Linked DNA regions of Rhinolophus ferrumequinum. The protein of the gene in region 2 interacts with the protein of the main gene of each other region in a pairwise test. Links are inferred from orthologs where the notes say so. Each region holds a gene or a part of one and is shown on either strand. Other genes may lie near its edges.

What was found.
Region 1: the proteins of TLE1 (region 2) and HES6 interact in binary tests that used the Homo sapiens proteins (3 or more experiments, as listed by UniProt). The link is inferred for Rhinolophus ferrumequinum from reciprocal best matches to the Homo sapiens genes TLE1 and HES6.

What each region holds. Positions count from the first base shown.
Region 1 is NC_046291.1:2,245,178-2,255,661, reverse strand, and holds HES6 (transcription cofactor HES-6), read right to left. Parts: upstream 3,818-10,484; 5' UTR 3,733-3,817; coding exon of another isoform or gene 3,687-3,732; coding exon 3,492-3,686; intron 3,387-3,491; coding exon 3,305-3,386; intron 3,069-3,304; coding exon 2,644-3,068; 3' UTR 2,329-2,643; coding exon of another isoform or gene 2,162-2,328; 3' UTR 2,049-2,161; downstream 1-2,048. Other genes in the region: uncharacterized protein LOC117025922, read right to left, coding at 23-507, 645-883, 2,162-2,328; PER2 (period circadian protein homolog 2), read right to left, coding at 10,078-10,215. UniProt on the Homo sapiens protein: Does not bind DNA itself but suppresses both HES1-mediated N box-dependent transcriptional repression and binding of HES1 to E box sequences.
Region 2 is NC_046295.1:45,521,815-45,532,276, forward strand, and holds the start of TLE1 (transducin-like enhancer protein 1), read right to left. Parts: upstream 4,208-10,462; 5' UTR 2,859-4,207; coding exon 2,835-2,858; intron 2,057-2,834; coding exon 1,956-2,056; intron 502-1,955; coding exon 438-501; intron 327-437; coding exon 282-326; intron 1-281. UniProt on the Homo sapiens protein: Transcriptional corepressor that binds to a number of transcription factors. Inhibits NF-kappa-B-regulated gene expression. Inhibits the transcriptional activation mediated by FOXA2, and by CTNNB1 and TCF family members in Wnt signaling.

The DNA.
Region 1 (10,484 bases), on a different chromosome or scaffold from region 2:
ACGTAACACGTCCTCATCGCACCTGCAGGATGAATGCTGAGCAAAGCCTTGGCTTGGGCTCTGGCGTGGTCCAGAAGCTCGGAATGGCTTGCGTTGCCTCCTCGAGAAACCTGCTTCCATCCACAGCCTGAAATGACTCCTTCCTTCCTCGACATCTCTGGCTTTGGATGCACTTTCGAACCATCTGGGAGCTTTTAATACTCCCGACTTGCAGGCTGCCTATGACCCACGCTCGGTGGTACGGGTCTCCAGCCGTGGGCCAGTCCCAGCGGCCCTGGGCAGGAACCAGCGCAGACGACTGCCCGGCCGGCCAGGAGCCCTCTAGCTTCGCCTCCCCTCGCGTAAAATGGGCGGCTCGAGCTATGGAGGGCCCGAACTGCTGGGCGCCGACGCCTACGTCGCTTCCTTGCCTGATCCTGGGGATGCTGGCGAGACCGCGGGCCAGCCTGGGCGGGGCGCAGAGCCGCCCTTGAACTTCACAGGCATAATAGGGAAGGGGGCTTGGAGCTCAGGGCGGCGGAGGGAGGGGCCTCCGGGCCGGGGAGGCCTCTGGGAGTCGCAGTCCCAGCTCTGCCTGCAGTGGCCCCGGGGAAAGGGAAGTCGAAGGATGGAAACTATATCTCCCAGGAAGCCCAGTGGCTCGCCTCGGGCGGCGTGGAGACGGAGCGGGGGCGTGGCCCAGCGCCTCCGTCGCTGGGCACCATCCGAAAGCCTCCGAGCCTCTCCGAACGTCTCCAGCGCCTCCAGCGCCTCCGAGCGCTGCGCGCTGCTCGAACTCAGCCCACCGGCGCCTGCAGCTCTGCACCCCCAGTCCCTCCGACAGCCGCAATGCTTCGGGCGGTCCAGGAACGGCTCACCGGCCGGCGCTCGGCGCTGAGCGAGACTGGCCGGATACCCGCTGTCAGGTCGCTAAGCAAAGGTCCGAACCTTGAGCAGAGCTGCGGGAGGGAGGGGGCCTGGAGATGGCCGGGAGGTCAGGCGCTCCGCGTGGAAGTGCGGAGGCGAATTAGGTCTGCTGCCCGAATCCAAGTAAAAGATGGACTCGGGTGGTGGGAAAGGTGACAAAATGGAGGGAGGATTTAGAAATAGTTTAATGAACTTGATTGAGTAGGAGTAGGATGACAGGAAAATAAAGAAATCGAGGGTAACTTCTAGATTCTTCGCCTAATTAACGGGGTGCCGTGAAGTGGCAAGGACTGGGGCAGTGACAATGCGTTTGGAGGCACACAACCAGGTGTCAATACTAAATGGTCACACCGAGCTCCAGGCCTGGGCACTGCCAACCCAAAGTGAGAACAAGCTGCTTTGGAGTCCTGGAGCAGATGGGGAGCTTGGGCTCCCTGGGGCAGTCACTGCTGGCAATGGACCATATGCCAGCTGCAGCCCTGACCCCGCCCAAGAGGGCAGTCCTCCCTAAACCCCAACGACCCATCCTGTCACCCTTCTTCCAAGGTTTCTGACCTCTTGGGCCCGTTTGACCTCCAGTCCAAGCAGCCTGCAGCCACGGGCACCTTCACTTCAAGACATGAAATGGGTGGGTCTCCATAACCCTGAAGTCACTGGGTGTGGTGGAAGCTCCTTCAGTCAAGAAAAGTGATAACCTAACACAAGTAGACGGACATCATGCTCATGGATCCCAATGCAGGTCTTTGAAAGAAACTTCCAAACCACGTGGCTAGCAGTCAGGCATCAGTTTGTTCCTAGGAACTCATGAACCAGAGAGTGGTCCGGGGGCAGGCTGTTTCCCTATTTCCCTATTGCTTGGTTACTCTGGGACAAGCCCTGTGCCAGTGGTATCCATCTCGTCTGCACACAATCCTGGGGAGAGCAGGCCAGGCCTGCAGGGGAAACCCACCTGGAACTGCCCAGCGACAGGGAGTGGGGAGCACTGTCCACTGAGACGTGTCCCAGCTCCACCGCCTTCACTCTACTCACTTTGCTGACAAAGGGTGAGAGCTTTCAAAAACATCCCCAGCATTAGACACAGGAAGAACGTGCTTCCTTTCCTATTTTCACAGTTGACAAATTAATGACACCACACCATTCAGTAATACTCCAGAAGGGAAACTAACTCTCCCAAATCCTTTATTTAATAGAATTGGAACATTCGATGGCAACCTAATACATACACAAACTCAAGTGTGCTAAATGCAAGACATACAAAAAGCCGCACTTCTCTCCAGCAGCTATGGGCAATGCTGCACTTGCCTCCCATGTCCTGGCTGAAGTGGCAAGTGCAAGCTTCTGCTCAGGCCACCGCTGCCAGGGCCTGAGGTCTCCCTCTGCCCAGACACCAGTGCCCAGCATGGAGGAGAGGCTCAGCACCATTCCGGTCACCTCTGTCCCCTAACAGGGACAGTGCCTGAGAAGGCTGGGACAGGAGAACCCATGGGGGCCCTGGTAGCTCTGCAGGATTCTTCCTCCTGCCTGTAGTCCACTCTCCACCCACCCGGGACTGTGGGGTCCATAAAAGTTACTCCCTTAAGAAATAGGGCTAGGGGCCTGACTAGTTGGGTGATCCAGGACTGCCCTACAAGCCGTCCACTGGAGGAACAAGGCAGGCAGACCTGGGAGACATCCAGTATCCTGCCCCACGACATCTGGACCCCAGGGAGGAGGGACCAGAGAGCGGGCTGGCGTTGGTCACCAAGGCCTCCAGACACTTTGGGCTATGCGGGCAGCGGTCAGGCTGCTCAGGGCCGCTGGCACTAAGTCTGGTCCCTCAGCAGGTGGGCGGCTCAGTTCAGCCTCGGTGGCCTCCTCCAGGTCGGAGCACAGGTCGTCCCCGTGGCCCAGAGGACTGGGCAACGGGGACCCTAGGGCACCCCCTGTGAGCCAGCCACTTCGTCTGGGGGCTCCGGGGGGCCCGGCCAGGGTGTCCCCCAGCAGATCCCGGAAGCTGCTGCCCTCGCGCAGCGGCATGGACTCCAGCAAGTGATTCAGGAGCTCGGCGGCGACGGTGGCATCGATGGCCTGGCATGTGGACACAAACGTGTGCACCTCATGCATGCACTGGATGTAACCGGCGGCGAAGCGCTCGCTCGCTTCCACCTGCAGCTGCTCGCGTCCTGCGCCCGGGGATGGGAGGGAGAGAACCGCACCCGGCCCTGTGAGCCCGGACTGCTGTGTCCTGGCCCGCGGGGACGCGGCTTACCCAGAAGACGGAGGGGAGCGCGCTACTCCGGGGAGAGCTCTGGTGGTGAACAGCACCCGGGCGCCCGGAGGGGATGTCCTAACTCTCGGGCAGGGGCGGGGTGGGAAAACGCGTCCCGCGCCCCCGCCCGCTCGCCTGCCCTCCACTCACCGCGAGCTCGGCCCCGCAGCGCGCCCTGCACTCGCCGCACCGTCAGTTCCAGCACCTCGGCGTTCTCCAGTTTGGCCTGCACCTGCACCGGCGGGGGCGCCAGGGAGGGATGCACGGTGAGGCCCGGTAGAGCCGCGACCACCCCCACCCGCTCGGCAGCTCCTGGGCACCCGCCCGCCTGCCTCACCTCGGGGCCCGCCAGCAGCAGCCGCAGCTCCTGCAGGCTCTCGTTGATCCGCGCGCGCCGCTTCTTCTCCACTAGGGGCTTCCGGGCCTGCGGGAAGCGGGCGACTGAGCCCCAGCGCCGCGCGGCCCCCCGCACGCCCGCCCGCAGCCCCGGCCTGCACCTTGCGGTCCCCCCGCGCCTCCCAGCAGTCCTCATCCTCCCGGCCCGCACGGTCCCGGCCAGACGCGAGGGGCGGAGCCATGAGCCGCACCGCCTGGAGCGCCGCGAGCGCGCTAAGCGCCCGCGCCCCTAGCAGCGCCGCCGCCCTGCCAGCCACCGCCCTCACTCTGTCGCGTCTTCCGCTCCTTGCGGCCCCGCCCCTTTTATAGTGCCTTATTTGCATCTCAATGCGCCGATTGGCCGCGCAGGCCTGGAGCTACTGGCGGGGAGGCGCGCTGCAGCCAACAGGAGCGGCGCGCTTTGTCCAGTCCCGCCGCCGGGGTCCTCCGGCAGCTGGAGGGGCGTGGCCGACGGGCGTGGCTCCCGGCTTGGCCTCCGCGCGACCCCCGCGGGGAAGGCACCCGAGGGGGCGGTGAGCCGGGGGAGCTGCGGCTCGGGGTGCGTTTGTTTCCCTCCATTCCCTGAACAAGGCCCCCAGGTCAGCTGTGCGTGTGAGCAGGAGCTCATCCATTACTTCCTTCATCTAGTCATTCACTCATTCACACTTGGCTTCGTTCTTCGAAGGTGCCTCGCGAGAGGAGCACCGTGTGCCGGCGTGCTGGGTTCTGGGGGGTGGGGGGGCAGAGGCAGTCGAATCCGCTGTCTCCAGACCTGGGGGACTACGAGTCTGGACTGGGGTGGCTGCAGAGCCCTGCGGAAGTGAGGACTCATGGGGCAACGGGTGTGGGAGCAGGCCCATGGCCCCCTTGCGTTTCTTGCGAATTTCTGTGTCTGGATACCGGCCGCCCTCCGCCTGCACGGGGGTGCTAGTGGGGCAGGGTTCGCGGGCTCGCTGGCACCGTTGCTCCTGCAGGCTCTCCTCTGGTCATTCCCTGACTCCCGCCCGTCTTTCCTTCGTCCCCTGCCGTCGGTTCTTTCCTGTGGTCATCATCCCCGTCACCCCCGGAGTCCCCCATCTCCCCCTAATACCCTTCGCTCCTTCGGTCCCCCCTTTCCCCCCTCTGCCCGATGCAACCCTTCGGGGTCGCCTTCCCCGCCCCCCGACCCCGCCTTTCCCTGGTTCCCCGCTACCGCCCACCCTTCTTTGGTCCTCACCCCAGTTGGTTCGCCCCGGCCCCCCTTCCCCCAGTCCCCCCGCCGGGTCCCCCTTCGGTACCCTTTCCCCCCGCCCAGCCCTCCACCCGCCAGGCTCGCGGAGGCCGCCGTCTGGACCTCGTAACTTGATGCCCGTGACAGTTGGCAGCTGCAGCCGCTTCGGCGGAGAAAAGCGGCGGCCCCGCCAAGAGCGACAGGTGTTGGCCGCGCCTTTGTCTCTGCTGGCTTTGTCCCGCGGGCGGGCGGCGGGCGCGCCTGTGTCCGCCAGACGACCGCCACCCCCACCGCGGGCTGCCCATCTGCCGGCCCGGCATCCCGGCGGGTGGGGTGCGTGAGTGATGGGGCCGCGCCCTTGGGCAGCGCCCTGGGGACCGAGGCCTGGCCCCTTCTCCACCGGCCTACTACATCCGTGCCTCCAGGCAGAGCCGCAATGCCAAGATGCCTCTGACCTTGGTCTTCCGCTTGGAACACTCTCCAACCCCCCTTTACCCACCATGGCTATTTCCTCACTGTTCAGGTCTCAGCTTCCTTATTCATCTACCTGGTGGGAGAGCACCTGCACCTTTCCTAGACCCCCCACTCACCCAGGATTAGGATAGTCAGGGTCTGGTCTGCACCCCCCAGGCTATGAGCATCCCTGGTCAAGAGACAGTCTGATCTAGGACCCCCTATCTGCCTGGTCTCACAGATACAGTGGGTGGGTAGGGCAGGTCAGAGGGTGTCCCAAGCCTGTGTGGCAGGTAGCAGGGAAGGAGACATCCAGGGACTGCAGTATGGTGCAGTTGGTAGGACTAGGCCACAGATGTTATCACCCACCCCCAGCCACTGGAAGATGGACCTGGCGGCCCTCCAGTGGCTATTTCCCTTTGGGCTCCCCACCAGAGGGATCTCCACAGGCAGGACAAGTTTAGGGAGAGGTTTGAAGGTCCCCAAAGTCACCTCACTGACCTGTGTAACTACCTGGGAGCCCTTCCTGCTGATTCTCACCTGCCTCTCTGCTGCCTGCTGCTTGGTTGCTTCTCTGTGAGGAGCCCCCTGAAACTCCCTCAGCTGGGTGTTGAACCCACTGCTTTCCTTCAATCGCCCCTGTTGTTCTCAAGCTCCCCCACAAGCCAGAAAACTCAGCTCTCTTCCTCCTCCGCTCCTGGGTGGCTCAGACCCACTGTCTGTTCTCCCTGCTCCTCCCGGTGGGATTGACAGTGCAGGCAGTTGAGTGACGGACCCCAAGCTGGCCTGGAACTTTATTCTTCTTTGCTGTTTAGACATCGCCTCAGGGAAGGAGGCACCTCCCCACCCCCAACACACAAGTAACTACAGTTAAGTTTCTACTACTTTGAGAAATCGAGGTATGGAAAAATACTCAGTGATCTCTCATACTCTGATTCATACCCCTCATTGCCTGTTATATTGTGTGAAGGAGGCCAAACAGGTATTATAGAATGCTCTCTATGAAAGGCAGTTCACTGGGACAGGATGGTCAGGTCCCCTGGAGCAGGTGGGGAGCTTGGGGAAAAGATGACTAGAAAACAAAATTGCTAGAACACCTGATTGGATGGGGTCCTGAATGTGACGCATGGAGGAAGACATGATAAAGGCAAATGGTGCAACAAAAAACCTGAAAGGCAGCTTGGAACTTAGGAAAAACAACAAGCTGCCCAAGAAGAGAAATGTAATCTTAGCACCTTATTTAGCTCAGTAGCCAATTCTTTCACAATCACAGCACTGTTCATAGGTTTCCACATTTAGAATCATCTAGAGAGAAAGCAAAGAAGGCTTAATTACGGTTACGGGACATGGTATGAGGTTGACTGTAGAACGCAAAGGACAGGTGCCAGTTGTCAGGAGAAGGGAGGAGATGAAGGGAGGGCCAGGAACCTCCCACACCTGTCCTACGTGGGGCAGGGGGATTGAGGAGGGCTGTCTACATTGAGGGAAAGAGAACTGAAGTGCTGGCTTCTGTCCCAGTGTGAGCAAGTGCCCTTGGGGAAAAAAGCAGGATAGAGTGGGGTATGTGTCTTGATTGGGTGTTGCCTGAGGTCCCACCTTTGAAATCAGCCTCAGTTTCCCTTAGTGGGCCCACTGGCTGACTGGCTGGCTTGGCCTTTTCCTCCCAGAAGCCTGGCTGCTCCATGTTGGGGCCACCAAGCTCTCACTCCCTCCTTCACGTGGCCTCCCCGAGCAGACCCACTTCCTGCCATTTGTCCCTTGGAGCCATCCCACCTTCAAAGGTTGCCTGAGCATAGAACTTCCTGAGCATTTGGGCCCTTTGATCCCCTCAGATCCAGGAAGAGAGGAGAGCAGAGCCTGGGCAGGGCTCTGGTGGCTACAGGGGGACCAGATAGCGGCAGGGGTGGCAGGCTGTAAATCTCTAGGGAACAAAGACAGTGGGCAGCCTGTGGGTGTGTAGGCGCCTGTGGGTCAGCCCAGGAGGCTCTAAAAAGCTCCTGTAAATAAGGGGGGTGGGATGTGCCTCTGGGCTTCTGTGGTAAGTGCGATTAAGAATCCCCACGGGCACTCAGAAGTCCAGGGCAACAGAGCCACATCTGGCCACTTAGGGCCAGCTTGCAGAGGTCTCTGCCCACTGGGAGACGCTGCCTTTTGTCCCCACTCCCCCATCATCACTTGGTGTTAGGCAGCCAGGCCAGGAGGGAGAGTCAAGCCGTCCCTCCTGTTTAGGGAGCTTCTCGAAGGTGGGGCACAGGGTCCAGTGTCCATTCATCTCCCCGCTCTGACCCCCACGGTCTTCCACGGTTTTGACCAGGCCCCACATGGCTTCATCACTGTGGAAGGAAGCACTGGACGGCTGGGGTGGGGCGAGACCGCGCTGTGCTGCCTGTACCATCTCTGACAGATATATGAGGTCTTCGTGGCCCTGCTGTCTCTGCTTTCAGGCCATGGCCAGCACGTAAGCAGCCAGCCCAGGAGGAACAGACAACCATGGGCGGGGCACTAAGGGACAGGAGGTGACTGAGGTCACCACAGCGGTGAAAAGGAGCTCCAGGGGCGGAGCCAAATACCCTCACCCCACCCCATGTGTAAGTGAAAACAAGTGGGAGAACTGGATTACAAGACTATATTTATATCCCAGAAAGTTCACTGGGCTAGAGCTGCGGCAGCTCCAGCCCCAGCTCATAGGTCCAAAGTACGTCAGAGAGACACACTCAGGCAGGAAGGGACCAGCGAGAAGCGTGCTGTGCGAGGGAAGAGATGAGAGACCTTTGTGATAGAAAGTCCCTAAAGCAGAATTTCCAGTTTTTTGTTTTTAAAAAATCTTTTGATAATCTTTGACTTCTATTCCAGTTTTCTTCTGTGTTACATTGAAAATACATACAAATAAAAATATACTTGCTTTATTTACCAATTTTCTAAAAGGCAAAAAAGTCATAAAAAGACACAAGCAGTCAAACAAACATATTGCACTGGGTGGAGAAAGCTTGGTTTGCTCACGAACAAACCACTTGTCCGGCAAGTCATTACACAGACTCGGAGAGCTTATTTACAGACCTTTTTAAGGAATATATTAAAAAGAAGGCTCAGTTTAAAATCGAGAAGGTTTTTATAATACCCGTGTAAGCACACATTCTAAAGAAAACATATGACTCAATGCGTGGCACCGTGTAAACAATTTCACAAAATGCTCCTACTGTCACCTTCTCAGCACGTTGAAGATACACAGTTAATCAATGAGAATACATAAAATAATGAAATAATGCTGACGGTGAACATTCATAACAGCGGAGAACGTTTCTGCAGTTTATGTTCAGGGAGCAGAAACGTAACCTTGACTCTCGTTTAATCCCTTAACGACGAGATCAGAGTCAGGAAGCAGTTTGCAGCATCTAGTTTCCACACACGCCAAATCTGAAGGTGATGCTACTTTGTAAATTCAAAAAAATTTAAACAGTGTTTTCTGTTTGAGTTTATAAAAAAATAGAATTACTATTCAGGCATAAGATGGTGTCACTATGGAAACCGGCTGGATGACAAGCAGACGTCACCTGTTGTAGCAGCCACTTCTCCAGCAGAAGACAAGAGAAAACCTGCTTCCTTTTGGTCTCTACAGACTCAGTCCAATTCTAAGTCAATTCTTTCATCAGTGGGATCTTTTCATTCACTCCAGGGACCAAGAAAATTCCAAACAATCTTTGGGATATATGATGCAGCATGAGATTTGGCAAAAAGTTGGGCAGACTGGCCTCACCCACCCAATGGCCTGAAAGTACCCGTGACACTAGGGCACATTACCTCAGAGACCGGAAGGTACACCAAGCGAGGTGAGGCACACAGAGGTCGAGGGCCCACGTCGTAGCCCATAGGGCAGAGGTGAGTGCACAGCACCCCGGGAAATGCACGACGGGTCACTGGGGGCCCGCGGTGTCAGCGGCAGCTCTCTGCCAGGGCCAGAGCTCATGTCTGGGAGGTGTCAGATGAAGAACAAACACGAATGGGTCCCAAATGCAGTGATCAAAGCCTGGTTTGCAGAGGGCAGTCACCATAAGGAGATGACGGACAACATACAAATGGGTCATGGTCTGGAAAAGGGTCCCAGAATGATCTGGAAACACACAGGAGGGTTTGGCCATGTATGAATCTGAAACCACTAGGCTTTGTTAATGCAGAGCGAGCATTTCAACTTTGTTCACCCCAAACGAAAGCTACGTCACGTAGAATCTGTTGCCACCACAGTACGTGAAGCAGAAGCTGCTGGTTTGCCAAACTACATACACTTCACACCATTTAATGCGAAAACATTTTGAAAGAAAAGTAGGAGAGGCTGTGATCTCCACTTGGTAAAAAACATCTAGTTTGACTAGATAATAATTTAGATAAAAAGCAGCCCCCGAGAGAGGACGGAATTTGATCTGTACAAACACACCCTGGAAAGGTTCCAGGAGGTGGGTGCCCTCAGCTCCGAGTCGCATGTGGTCACAGCCTCGGGACACCCCACGGGAGGCCAGTGGACACGGATGTGCCGCTCAGAGGCTCAGCGCACCCCAAGTAGTTCTGCGAGCGTTTTGGCAAGTTCACTGACACTAAAAAAGGGGGATTCTGTCTTTCTCAAGTTAAATAGTAACGAAAATCTCTTCCCCGTCCCCCAAAGTCCACATTTATATTTTAAATATAAAAATGTATTTCTTCCCAAACCGTTCCCACTGTCCAGTTTTCAGTCACCCCTTCAGAATACTATTTTTTTCTAAAACAAAAAAAACAATGTTAAGTATATCTGTCCATTTCATTAGAAACAAATGTGAGGCTCTGTCATCCTCCCTTCCAGCACCATCTAATGTAGATCACAGGCTGGTGGGGCAGGTGGGCGGGGTTATGTCCGCCCTTAGTTTTTGTGACTCAGGGGGGGTCCATTTTCCTCTTCTTTGGTGCCTGTCATTTCGTTGAGTCCCAGAGCAGGGATATGCTCCTCATATGGCACACAGATGTTGCCTTTTTCCATGTTTTCACAGTAAACGCATTCCTTAAGAGAAAAATATGTGAAATCAGTAACAAAAATGAGATCTTCATCACAAAGACGCAATCCACCTGAGTGATGGTGGTGACCAGGTGTCAGCTGCCAGGCTGCTGGAGAACCAGGTGCTCAGCTGTGGGGCCCCCACCTGCTCCCAAGGGCCCCCACACCCAGTTCCCTCAAGGCCAGGGGGAGTCTGGGACCTTCTCGGAGAGGTGGTTTGGCATCATGAGAGGGTGGCGAAAGCCAGCCGGCTCAGGCTGTATTCCCAGCTCCTC
Region 2 (10,462 bases):
GGAGAATTTATCTATCCAGGTGGAAAAGTAAACTCAGAGTCTCAATTCCTATCTGACCATACACAAGCTAGTTTACATTTTCAAAGCACCTCTCACCCAGTCATTTAAACATTTTGTAACTGTCAAGAAGCAATCCTTGCTGCAAAGTATTACCAACAATTTGCAAGAAGGGAAACCAAGGCAGAAAAATAGCACACAAACCCCCCACAAGAAGACAAAGCCACTATTGAGAAAATCATAACTAATTTCTCATTACGGCTTAAGATTTAACTAATGCTTACCTGTTTATGCATTTCTATGTTTAATCCATATGACATTTCATAATACTGTGAGAAGAAAAAAAGAACCAATCATTTCATTAATTCATGTTTTATGATGCTAAGAACATGTATTTGCTCATATTACACGAAAAGGAAAAAAATCTAATTGATACCTACCATCACATAGTGCCTCTGCATTTCTGTCTTTTCACTTGCCAGTTTCTCACATTCCAATTTAAGGCTACAAAAACAAAACAGGCAACTTAATGTAAACATTATGTCACTTGTTTTAACATCTGCCTCACATATTTACACTTCAAGTAAAAACAGACCAATTTGGAAAAGCCATAAACTATCTAGGTAAACACCCAAAAGCTTTGTCCCTGCATTTAACAGGGGAAAGAAATAAGGTGAACATTACAGGGTATCCATTCAGCTACTATTCTTTTTCTTCTTGGCGCATACCTGGTCAGATGCCAAGAATTATTAACAAAAGCTGTCAAAACCTCTAATCTACCCAGAAGACTGATTCCTCCTGGTGGTCATCTGTTCACGCCTATTTCCCTGAATCAAAGTGTGCTTCTCCGGACTCCACCAAAATCTGGCCTTTGCACAATCCTCAGTCTCAGGCAAAAGCTGCACTACCTTTGCCAATTCAAAGTCTCTAGGTTTGAAACACTGTACCTGTAAAGTTACCTCTACAATTGTTGGTCCCTTTTAAAACCTTTGATTTCCAAATCCCTGCCAAAATATGTCAAGCAGCTACTGCAGTGAAGTGGGCTGAAGTCCTCCCTGCTTGGTAAACAGTGTGTGGGTAGGGATGCCTCAAGCTCTAGAGATTATTATCTTCAAGCAGACAAAAGGTCAATAATCAGAAAGCCTCTGACAAAATAAGAAAATTCACACCCCAGCATCTGTGTTTTTTCTCAAGCAAGACAAAAATAAAAACTGTCGTTACAGCTATTTCTTAGCTCTAATCAGCTAAGACTTCATAGGAACGAGAAACTAACATTTCTGGAAAGTCCACTATGGATGTGGTGCTTTACAAATAGTTTTTATTTACAAATCTTTTGAAGTAGGTATCGTTAGATGAAGAGACTAAAGCTGAGAGGGATACAAATGTGACTCCAATCCCTTGTTCTACCCAAATCTACCCAGAAATGACGCCAAAGCAGGTTAGCTTTCCCTGACACACCCACCCCCCTCGTGATCACCAATGATGGGCACAGCTTAAAAGCATCTAGCGTTCCATAATGGACTTTGCCTCAGCCCAATTCTCTACCATAGCAAACAGCGATTTCAACACTGGCTTTGCCTCCCTGAACCGACACTCCAGGGCTGGGGCATCGACTGAACCAAGGTTTTAGCTCAGCCTGTTTGTTGCAAAACAAATAAATGAAGTGCAAATACTGACAGTTCTCATTTAACTCCTAAACACACGAAAATAGACTCCCTGGAACAGCAGCAAACCGGCAGAAGGGAAACAATGGGAGGAGGAGGAGACAAGAGAAGAGGCGGCCCGGGAAGAGCCAGGAAAGGGGGTAACGTGAATGACAGGTTTTAACTGCGACTCCACACGCCACCGCCTGGACACAAATGCTAAGTACAGCCGCCGCCGCCGCCACCCAGGGGCTGGGCGACGTGGGGCACGGGACTGCCCGGGCAACCAGTCGCCCCCCGCGGGCCGACACGCACCTGTGATACTGCGCCTGCAGGAACTGGAATTCCTCTTTAATGCGGTCCAGAGACTCCGGAATAGTGAATTTGAAGGGCTGGCCTGCAGCCTGGTGCGGCGTCTGGGGGACGACCAGCGAGGGGGACCGTGGGACGGAGATGCGGGCGGGTGGATAAAGCAGTTAGAGGACAGAGAGGTGGGTGGAACACAAACAAAAAATAAAGTTAGAAATGGCGGATAACGGAGTCCCGAACGCGAGTTTGCGCTTCACTTTGGGGAGAGGGAAAGTGGACACTCCGCCGACCCCCGGCTTCTAGAGGCTCTAAGCCCCCTCCAGCCTTTCCCGGGTCACCAGACTGGAGGAAAAGGGGCTCCCCGGCGGCCAGGGTGGACCAGGCCAGACTGTCGTCATCGCCGCGCCCTCCCCCACGGGGGCGATAAAGACCCCGGGGACTAGAAAAGAAAAACAAATCCCTAACGCTCCCCGTTCCCAGAGTCGCCAAGGCCAACTTAAGCGCGCCGGAACGGGGGCCGCATTGACATGCAAATAGGCGAGACCAGAAACAAAGCGGGGGGGCGCCCTCCCCTCCCCGGGGGAGGAGGAGGATGTGGTTGCGGGAGCGAAACCCCGGCCTCTCCCGGTGCCCCCGTCACCCTGTCTAGACGTCAAGCAGGAGGTGACCCAGAAGAAACGGGGTGGGGGGAATTGGGAGTTTCAGCCCACTACCCACCTCAAGAGAGCAGGGCCCGGGACCTCCCAATCTTGCAGACCCGGAGACGAGGGGGTCCGTCAGAATGTAGCAGCCACCCGCCTCCCCACAGCACGGAGAGTGCCTCCCGCCCCCCGCCCCCCGCTCCCCCCACCACCACCCCCGTCTCCCCGGCCAGCCGCGCCTCACCGGGTGCCGGCTCTGCGGGAACATCGCTCTGGCTGCCGCCGCGGCTCTGTTCCCCGGCAACTCAATTCTCCGCTCAATTTCCAACTTTAATCCCGCCGAGAAAAATTAAGCCAGTAAGCCCGGCAGAAACGCGACGCGCAGGGGGCCCGCTGGCCACGCACGCAGGCGCGCTCGGCGGGGCGCACGGGCCACTCCGCGCCCGGCTGCTCCTGCTCCCGCCAGTGTGGGCTCCCGCGTTCAGGGCCACATCGTGGGGCACCCCGGGCCCAGCTGCTCGAAGAACCTCCGCGACACCGCGCTGTTCTCCAACCCGCAGGCCTTAGCCGCCTGGGCGAGGAGGTGGGGGAACGGTGACTCCGGCGCGCTCCTGTAGGCGATCAGTGTGCGCGGCAACCGTCCGGGCAAACAAATCCAGACGGGCTGTCTTCCTTTGCTCTTCTCCCGGTCTGCCTCCTCTCCGGGTTTTCCCCGCGGCGCCGGCAGCGGGCGAGGTGCAGGTGGCTGCCGGCTAACCCCACACAAACCAACCTAGTGACGTTTCGGAGCCCACCTTCGCGGGTCCAGGCAGCACCTTTGCCGGGCACTCGCGGGCCCCTAGAAAGCGGCGGGGAGCGAGGTCCCAGCCGCGGTGTAGGCTCCGCGCCCGGCGCCCCGCAGACTCAACCCTGGCTGAGAAGCGCGGAATGACAGCGAGGCTGGGAAAGTGCGGAGGGCGCGCCGGGAGGCTGCCCCGCACACCCCGTACGACCGGCACTCGGTGTTCTCCGCGGTTGCACAAACCCTCCAGGCCCGACGGGGCTACTCCACGAAGGGCAGTCCCGCGGTCGCCCACAGCTCCTTGAGGCCAGGGCGCATCCGGGAGCCGCGCCCGGTGAGCACTCGCCCCACACAACCCGTCCGGCCGCTTCGGACCCTTCCTGGGTCCTCTTTCTTTCCTTCCCTTCGTATGCCTCTACGTAAAAGGCGCTCCAGCCCGCTGCAAAGTTCTCTCACGACCCGGGGTACGACATCCACGAGATGGTGGCAAGAAGAACAGGAGTGCGCGTCGCCGCTCGGCCTCCCTTCCCGGCCGGCAAACTCCGCGGGAGAGTCTGGAGTACTCGGGGCAGCCGCAGCCCACCGGGATTAAGTCGCCGCGGGCCGGCGAAGGTCCGGGTTGGTGGCGCGGGTCCCGCCCGGCCGTGAAAAGGTGGGGGTGGTGCAGTCGGCTGCCTCGGGGACGCGGGGCACAGAGAACCCGCCGACGCTGCTGCGGCTCCTGCAGTCGCCGTTCCTACCACTGCCGCCGCCGCCCGCGCCTCTCGCGCCGGTTACATTAACACGCGGTTTCACACTCCGGAGCTAACCAGCGCGGGCCCCGCCCAGCCCTGGGCGGGCGGGGAACGAGAGCACCCAGCCGGCGGGCGACGTGGGCCCGGACGGCTGGGAGGGGGAGCCGGAGTCCAGCGTCAGCCAATCGCATGCGCGATGCCCAACGTGGGGTGCTGACGCAACCCTCCCCGCAGCCTATGGCGGCGCAGCACTGGACGGGCCGCCTCCCTCCTATTCCCCCCCCTCCCACTCCACTTGCTTCCATCTCTGCTGTTTCCACCGGCTCCCCTCCGGTCCCTCCCACCCCTCCTCAGCCAGCCGCGTCCTCCCGGGCTCGGTGAGGAACTGTTCCTGGAGGAGCCGCGGGACGCTGAAGCCAGCCAATGGGAAGCTGCGAGACGCGGAGATTGGCACTGTGGATGGGAAGGTCGGTGGGAAGGAGAGCGGCGGGGCCCGGCTGTCAATCAAAGTAACGTGGGGCCTGGGAGGGAGCGCGCGGGAACGCGAGAGCGAGAGGGACCTGCAAGTGTGCAGCCACGGAAACTGGGGGCTCGAGTTTGCAAAATTCCTGCCACTGTTCACTTTTTCACTGTTCCCTTAAATGAAAATTCTGAGATTTCAGTGAAAGTAACTCAGCGACTAACCGCGTAGTTTCTTATGGGAGAGGGGGCTTTTTGGTAGTTGGAGCCAAATGCATGTTTTGGTGCTATCCCCTTGTTTGATGCTACTCTTTTCAAAGTGAGGTCACATTCAAAAATTTCTCTGGTTTGTTTTTCTTTGGGCTGCCTTTACGCGGGTGCACGGGGAGTGGACTGTGCACTTGATGGAAAATAAGTGGGCAACGCATTTAGCTGGCGTATGTATACCAGCCGCATAAGACGAGGCTTTTAATGCCCACGCCCCCTTTGCACCCAAGGTGATAGGATTTGGTTTTTATTGGAGGATTTGAAACCACTTTGCGAAAAGGTCGGCCTGCTCTCGTTTAGCGGGAAGTATACCCGAGGTGCTGCCAGTGTAAGGCACGCGCGTCCCAGTCGCAGATGGGATGCTTTGCCCCGGGGCTCGAAATCTAGGGTCCTTGTCTTAAAAGTTCCGACTTCTCCGTGTTGGGGAGTAAGGGACTGCTGAGAGTTTTAGGAGCCTCCCATTAACATGACCGCGAGTCTGTTTCCAATTCCTGGAAACAAAGGGAGACAATAGGATAAACCAGCATTGAGACCTAAAAAACATGTCCTGCCCACCCCACACCCATAGTTTGGGTGGTATCCAGGGCTGAGCCCTGTAAGGAACTAAATAAGAAGCGCTGGGTAAATAAGATGGCTAAAATTATGAGATGGATTTGGAACTTGACTTAAATAAAAGGGATTTTGAGATTTTCAATAAATGGGGCATACCGTATAAATATCTGGTTTTTGTCTGTTTCTCTAAATATACTGCGCAGCAGAAAACCTTCAATATTGCCGCATTTATACTTTTGTTTAAAGAACAGTTCAGTGGAGCTATTTCCACATGATTGGTGAGTGACTAATGCTATTTTGGACAAATGGTGGTGAATTCTTCCATGAGTAAGAGACATCTTTGACAAGCATTCATGTTACCTTGGAATGTACTTACCAAGTTTTTAGTACTAATAACCCCACGGTCCCATTATTTTACTTTCAAGAGACTTACGGAAAACAATTTAAGCAGAAATACATTTTATTTTACAGAGATCTTTTCCTTGAAATATTAAAAGAATCATTTTGGATAATACATGTCACTGTTGCAGTTGTTTTTAAATATGTATGATATGGTTTTGTCTATAACTGCATCAATCCCAAACATCAATTATAAATGAAAAATTAAAGGAGTTATTTTAGCCAGCTGTACAAGTCCATTGTAAATTCTTAATCAAGTTGGGCATTGTGGCTTTGCAGTGTTCTTACCAAATTAAGTAGAGTTAGGAAGGGGGTCATATTCATTTTGCTAAAATGGAGAATGGAAAGGAAGAAGTACCGCCCCTCTTTTCTTGGTTAAATTTGGTGATGACCAGAGCAGGCTTGCTCCACACACAGGACTTCTTAACATCATATGATCCCTGGGCAACTAAGCTTTGTCCTTTGGCAGCCAGTCTGCCTTGAAATCTTCATCTAGTGTTTGGGCTACATGTGCTAATCTGTGGTCAGTTCACCCCATAATCAGCTGCAGGACTGTGTAGAAAGTGTTTGGATGTCACAAATATGCCAGTGCGTGCTGGGACAACTGGGGCCACTGAGACTTCTCTCTCACTTACCCGTTTTGCTTTGATTTACTGGCACAGGCTGGTAATTAAATTTAAACAGAGAAAATTAAAGTGGTATATTTTGAGATAGGACGAAAATGTTGCTACTTCTTCTCTACTATCACCTTTCCATCCCCTTCAAAACATTGTCTTCAAATCTTCTCTAATATAGCTGTTTATGGCAAACATGTTTGCTGTTACTCACTATATTTCCCAGTTTGCCATGGGTAAAATTGGAAACTCTCTTTTAACTAGTGCTTCCTTACCAGTAGAGTTTGAAACACCAGGCCTCTGATTTCCTTATAATGTTATAACTGAAGAATAGAAAGGGTGATGATTTCAAAATTGGAAGGCCCTTAATTGTGTGCATAAAGATGGTGGGTTTTCAATGACTTGTTTCTAGGGCAGCGCATCCTCCTTGAGAGAGGGAGAAGGCTGGGTCTCTTTTCAAGGTCATATTTTCTCTGTGATTGTCATGCTGTAATAATTATACTACAAAACTCATCAAACTGCATTACAAATTATGGTGTTTAAACAATCAAGTAGCTTTAATCTTATGTTTTAAATAAATAATATATGTGTAGATTGCCTACAGCCTGTTTAAAAGAAAATGGTCCTACTCATAACATCTATAATTTTGGTCTTCTATTTAAAGTCTATTAAACATAATCTTCTTTAACATATTCATATGTTATTTTTACATGAAATAGTATTAAGTATTCCACTTCTGTAGGAAATCGTCTCTGAAAAAAAGTTCCTTTTTTATCCTCTGCAAAAGAAACAAAAAGATTGTTAGATTGTTTGTTTTATCACTGATGCATATATGGGTATATTTTCATCCATTTGTTGATGATTATCAAATTTGCAGCTCACCAATAGCATAAGCCAACTACAAAAACTAGATGTTACATATAGTATAAGTACTAGATACAGTAGGAAAATCTGCTGGTCATAGAAATTATGCATCTTCTTTTAAATCTATTACTTTTTTATTTGAAATAATATGTCAATTTTTAAAAGATCAGTTTTGTAATTTTCTCTTCCTTTTAACTGTGAATTATTGGGTATACATTTCCTCATTAGACTTATTTTTTTAAATTGGGAGTTTCTTAAACCTAAGACTGTAGAGTCCAGAAGAAATTTTCCTAACATTGCATTATAACTCCCCCCCACACACACCCTTTTACCAAAGAAAAGGACAGAGTGGGCATGGGGGATGGAGGGGAGAAAGCAGAGAAGAAGAAAAAAATCAGTAGCAGATCCATGCAGCAGTAAAACCTCAAATAAAATCACATCCAAAGAATCTCTTGTGGTTTCACACAATATGGTAAAATTAGAGATTGCAGGAAACCAACTAAATTAAACTGGGAGCATTTGAAGAGAAACGAGCAGACTTTATGAAAATGACACATTGACTGACCAGTATGCTTTTTTATCAACATTTTTTTTGTTGTTGTTAAGACGCAGATCAAAGGGACCTGCATATGTTTTCATTTTGTTCTAACTAGAAAATTACATCCAGATGTTTAATAGGCATTTGGTTGGTTTTTCAGCATTGATTAGATATGTTGGTTCTGTTTGCTTACAAGTGTAGCCGGATCATTAGCTAATGCAAAGAAATGTTTGCTGTGAGTTGCTAATTAGGGCTTTTGGAAACCCTCCATGTTCAAGAACAATTTGTACAGTGGCCAGAAGAACTTGTGGGACTTGGGGAAGTTGTTTTCCCTTTTCTGTGAGGGTGGGGAGAAGCAGACAACCCCGATCTCTAATCTCTCTTAGCCTACAGGGATTGCGAAGCTATCCCTGAGGATTGGAGTGCAAATAAATTAGGAAGAGACCACACAGACACTCCCAAACACAGCGATAAATGTGCTTTCTGGAACTGCCACCATGCTGTCTTTGAGGATGGGGGAGCGAACATCTAAAACACTGAACATTAACATGTAGAAGCTGCTTGGTGCTAATGTTATCAAATACACAGCCTTTTTAAGTATACTTTAGAGACAGATGGGAAAGCCCTTTATGACAAACGAGTGTACTTGAATTCATTACTGTAGTAGTTATAATTAAAAATGTCTCCTTTGCAATTTTAGTACTTTTACAAGGTACAAGAGACCAAGCTTGGGAAGGGGAAGGCTGGGGCTCATGAAAGGAGTGAGGGGAACGGAATTTTGGAGCCAAGGATGAGCCTAGGAGGAAATGCAGTGTTTACTTTCACAGCCCACCTACTTGTTTACCTTGTTAAAGCCCCAAAACTTGTAGGAGATTACCCATTCACAAGGCATTCAAATAAACTGAGGATTTGAGGCACCAGGCTGATAAGCATCTTATCTGGCCAATCATGTTTTTAAAAACAGCTAGCCTGCAGAGTAACACCACCTCTGCAGGGGTCTAACTTTTGTTTATTTAAGTCTGTATTTCTAGAGAGGTATTGGGCCCTATAAGCCATCCTGGAAGTGTGGCTACAAATACCAGCATAGCATGTTCTTCTGCGTATTGATGCCCCTTCTAGACCTGTTTACACCTTGTGCACAGGTATGGCACACTCCTACGTATTAATGTAGACTGATTAATTTGGGATTTTCTCACCAATAGAATATATTCATTATTTGTCCTTGAAATAGTTCAAGCAAAGGGCCTTTCTGTCAGAGCTTTCCAAGTCCACTTAAGGAGGTGATGCTCTTGAAAAACGAGGACAGTATTTTGGGGCAAAATCAGATACTGCCTGAAGCTCAGGTCGTAATAATGGGTCTCAGTGAAGTTAGCCACACATTGCTCCCATCCCAGTCCCTTTAACCCATTCGAAAGTCTGAGAAAAGTTGGGATAATACACTTTTTTATTCTTTCAGTTTAGCATTTAGCTCAACAGAAGCTGAAAGGCATTTGGTAGACAAAAGAAAATAGTTAAAGGCAGCACCTTTGATGTTCCTTCCTGCATATGCCCATAACAAGAGCTGTCCTTAGCCCCTCACTGCTCTTGCATTGACCCACCTTGCTACACGCCCTAGACTTGCTAGGAAATCAACATTAAACTGAGACACCTTTCCTTTTATCTTAAAAGCTTTTGCTTTGGCAGTCTCATTTAAATAAGTTTTCTTCCTTGAAGCTAACAATTTCTTTCAAGGGTTAAAGCTTGAGTTCAGCTAATCTGTGATCTCTTGCTATTTATGGTTGAAGGCAGGTGAACTCTGGGGATGGCAAAGGGGCTAGAAGGCAAGTAAATATTCCAGATTACCTCTGTGGATTCTAGAATGGCAAGTCTAGGCCTAGACGAACAAGTCAAATGACATAAATACAGAATGTTGGGGCTAGAAGGCAAGTAAATATTACAGATACCTCCACGAATTCTAGGATGGCAAGTCTAGGCCTAGATGACAAGTGACATAAATACAGAAGGTTGGGACATTCCACAAGACAACTGGCCGGGGACCTTTAAAAAATCAGTGTTATGAGAGGTGGCGGGTGGGAGGGTGGGAAGTGGGAGGACTATTCCCTAAAAACAAAGACATATAATGAAAATGCAATATGCAAATCTTTATTGGCTCCTGGTCAAGAAAAAAAAAACAAAAAACGAAAAACCCACAACAATTATAAAAGACATCCTTGGGCAGTTTTAATGTGGACTGGATATTAAGTAAAATGGAATTATGGCTAATTTTTTTTTTGATGTGAGAATATAGTAGTTGTGTATGAGGATGTTATTCTTAGAAGACTCATGGTGCAGCATGCAACTTCAAATGATGTCTGCAACTGCAATTAAAAAGTGCAGTTTTTCTGAAGGTTAAAGCAAGAGAAAAAAAATTTGGCAAGAACTCAACAGTTACAGAATTTAGGGATAAAGTCTGCAGTTATTCATTTTACTATTCTTTCAACTTTTCCATATGTTTGAATTTTTTCTTGATAAAAAGTTTGGGAAAATAACTGTACATTCATTGTCTACATCTTTTTCTTCATATGTTAAGTGTAAATTCCTTTTGGAGTTAAAAGATTGGCTTACAATATTTCTAGTTTTAAAAACTAGGAAAAAAGTGCTGATTTTATTTTATTTTATTTTTCT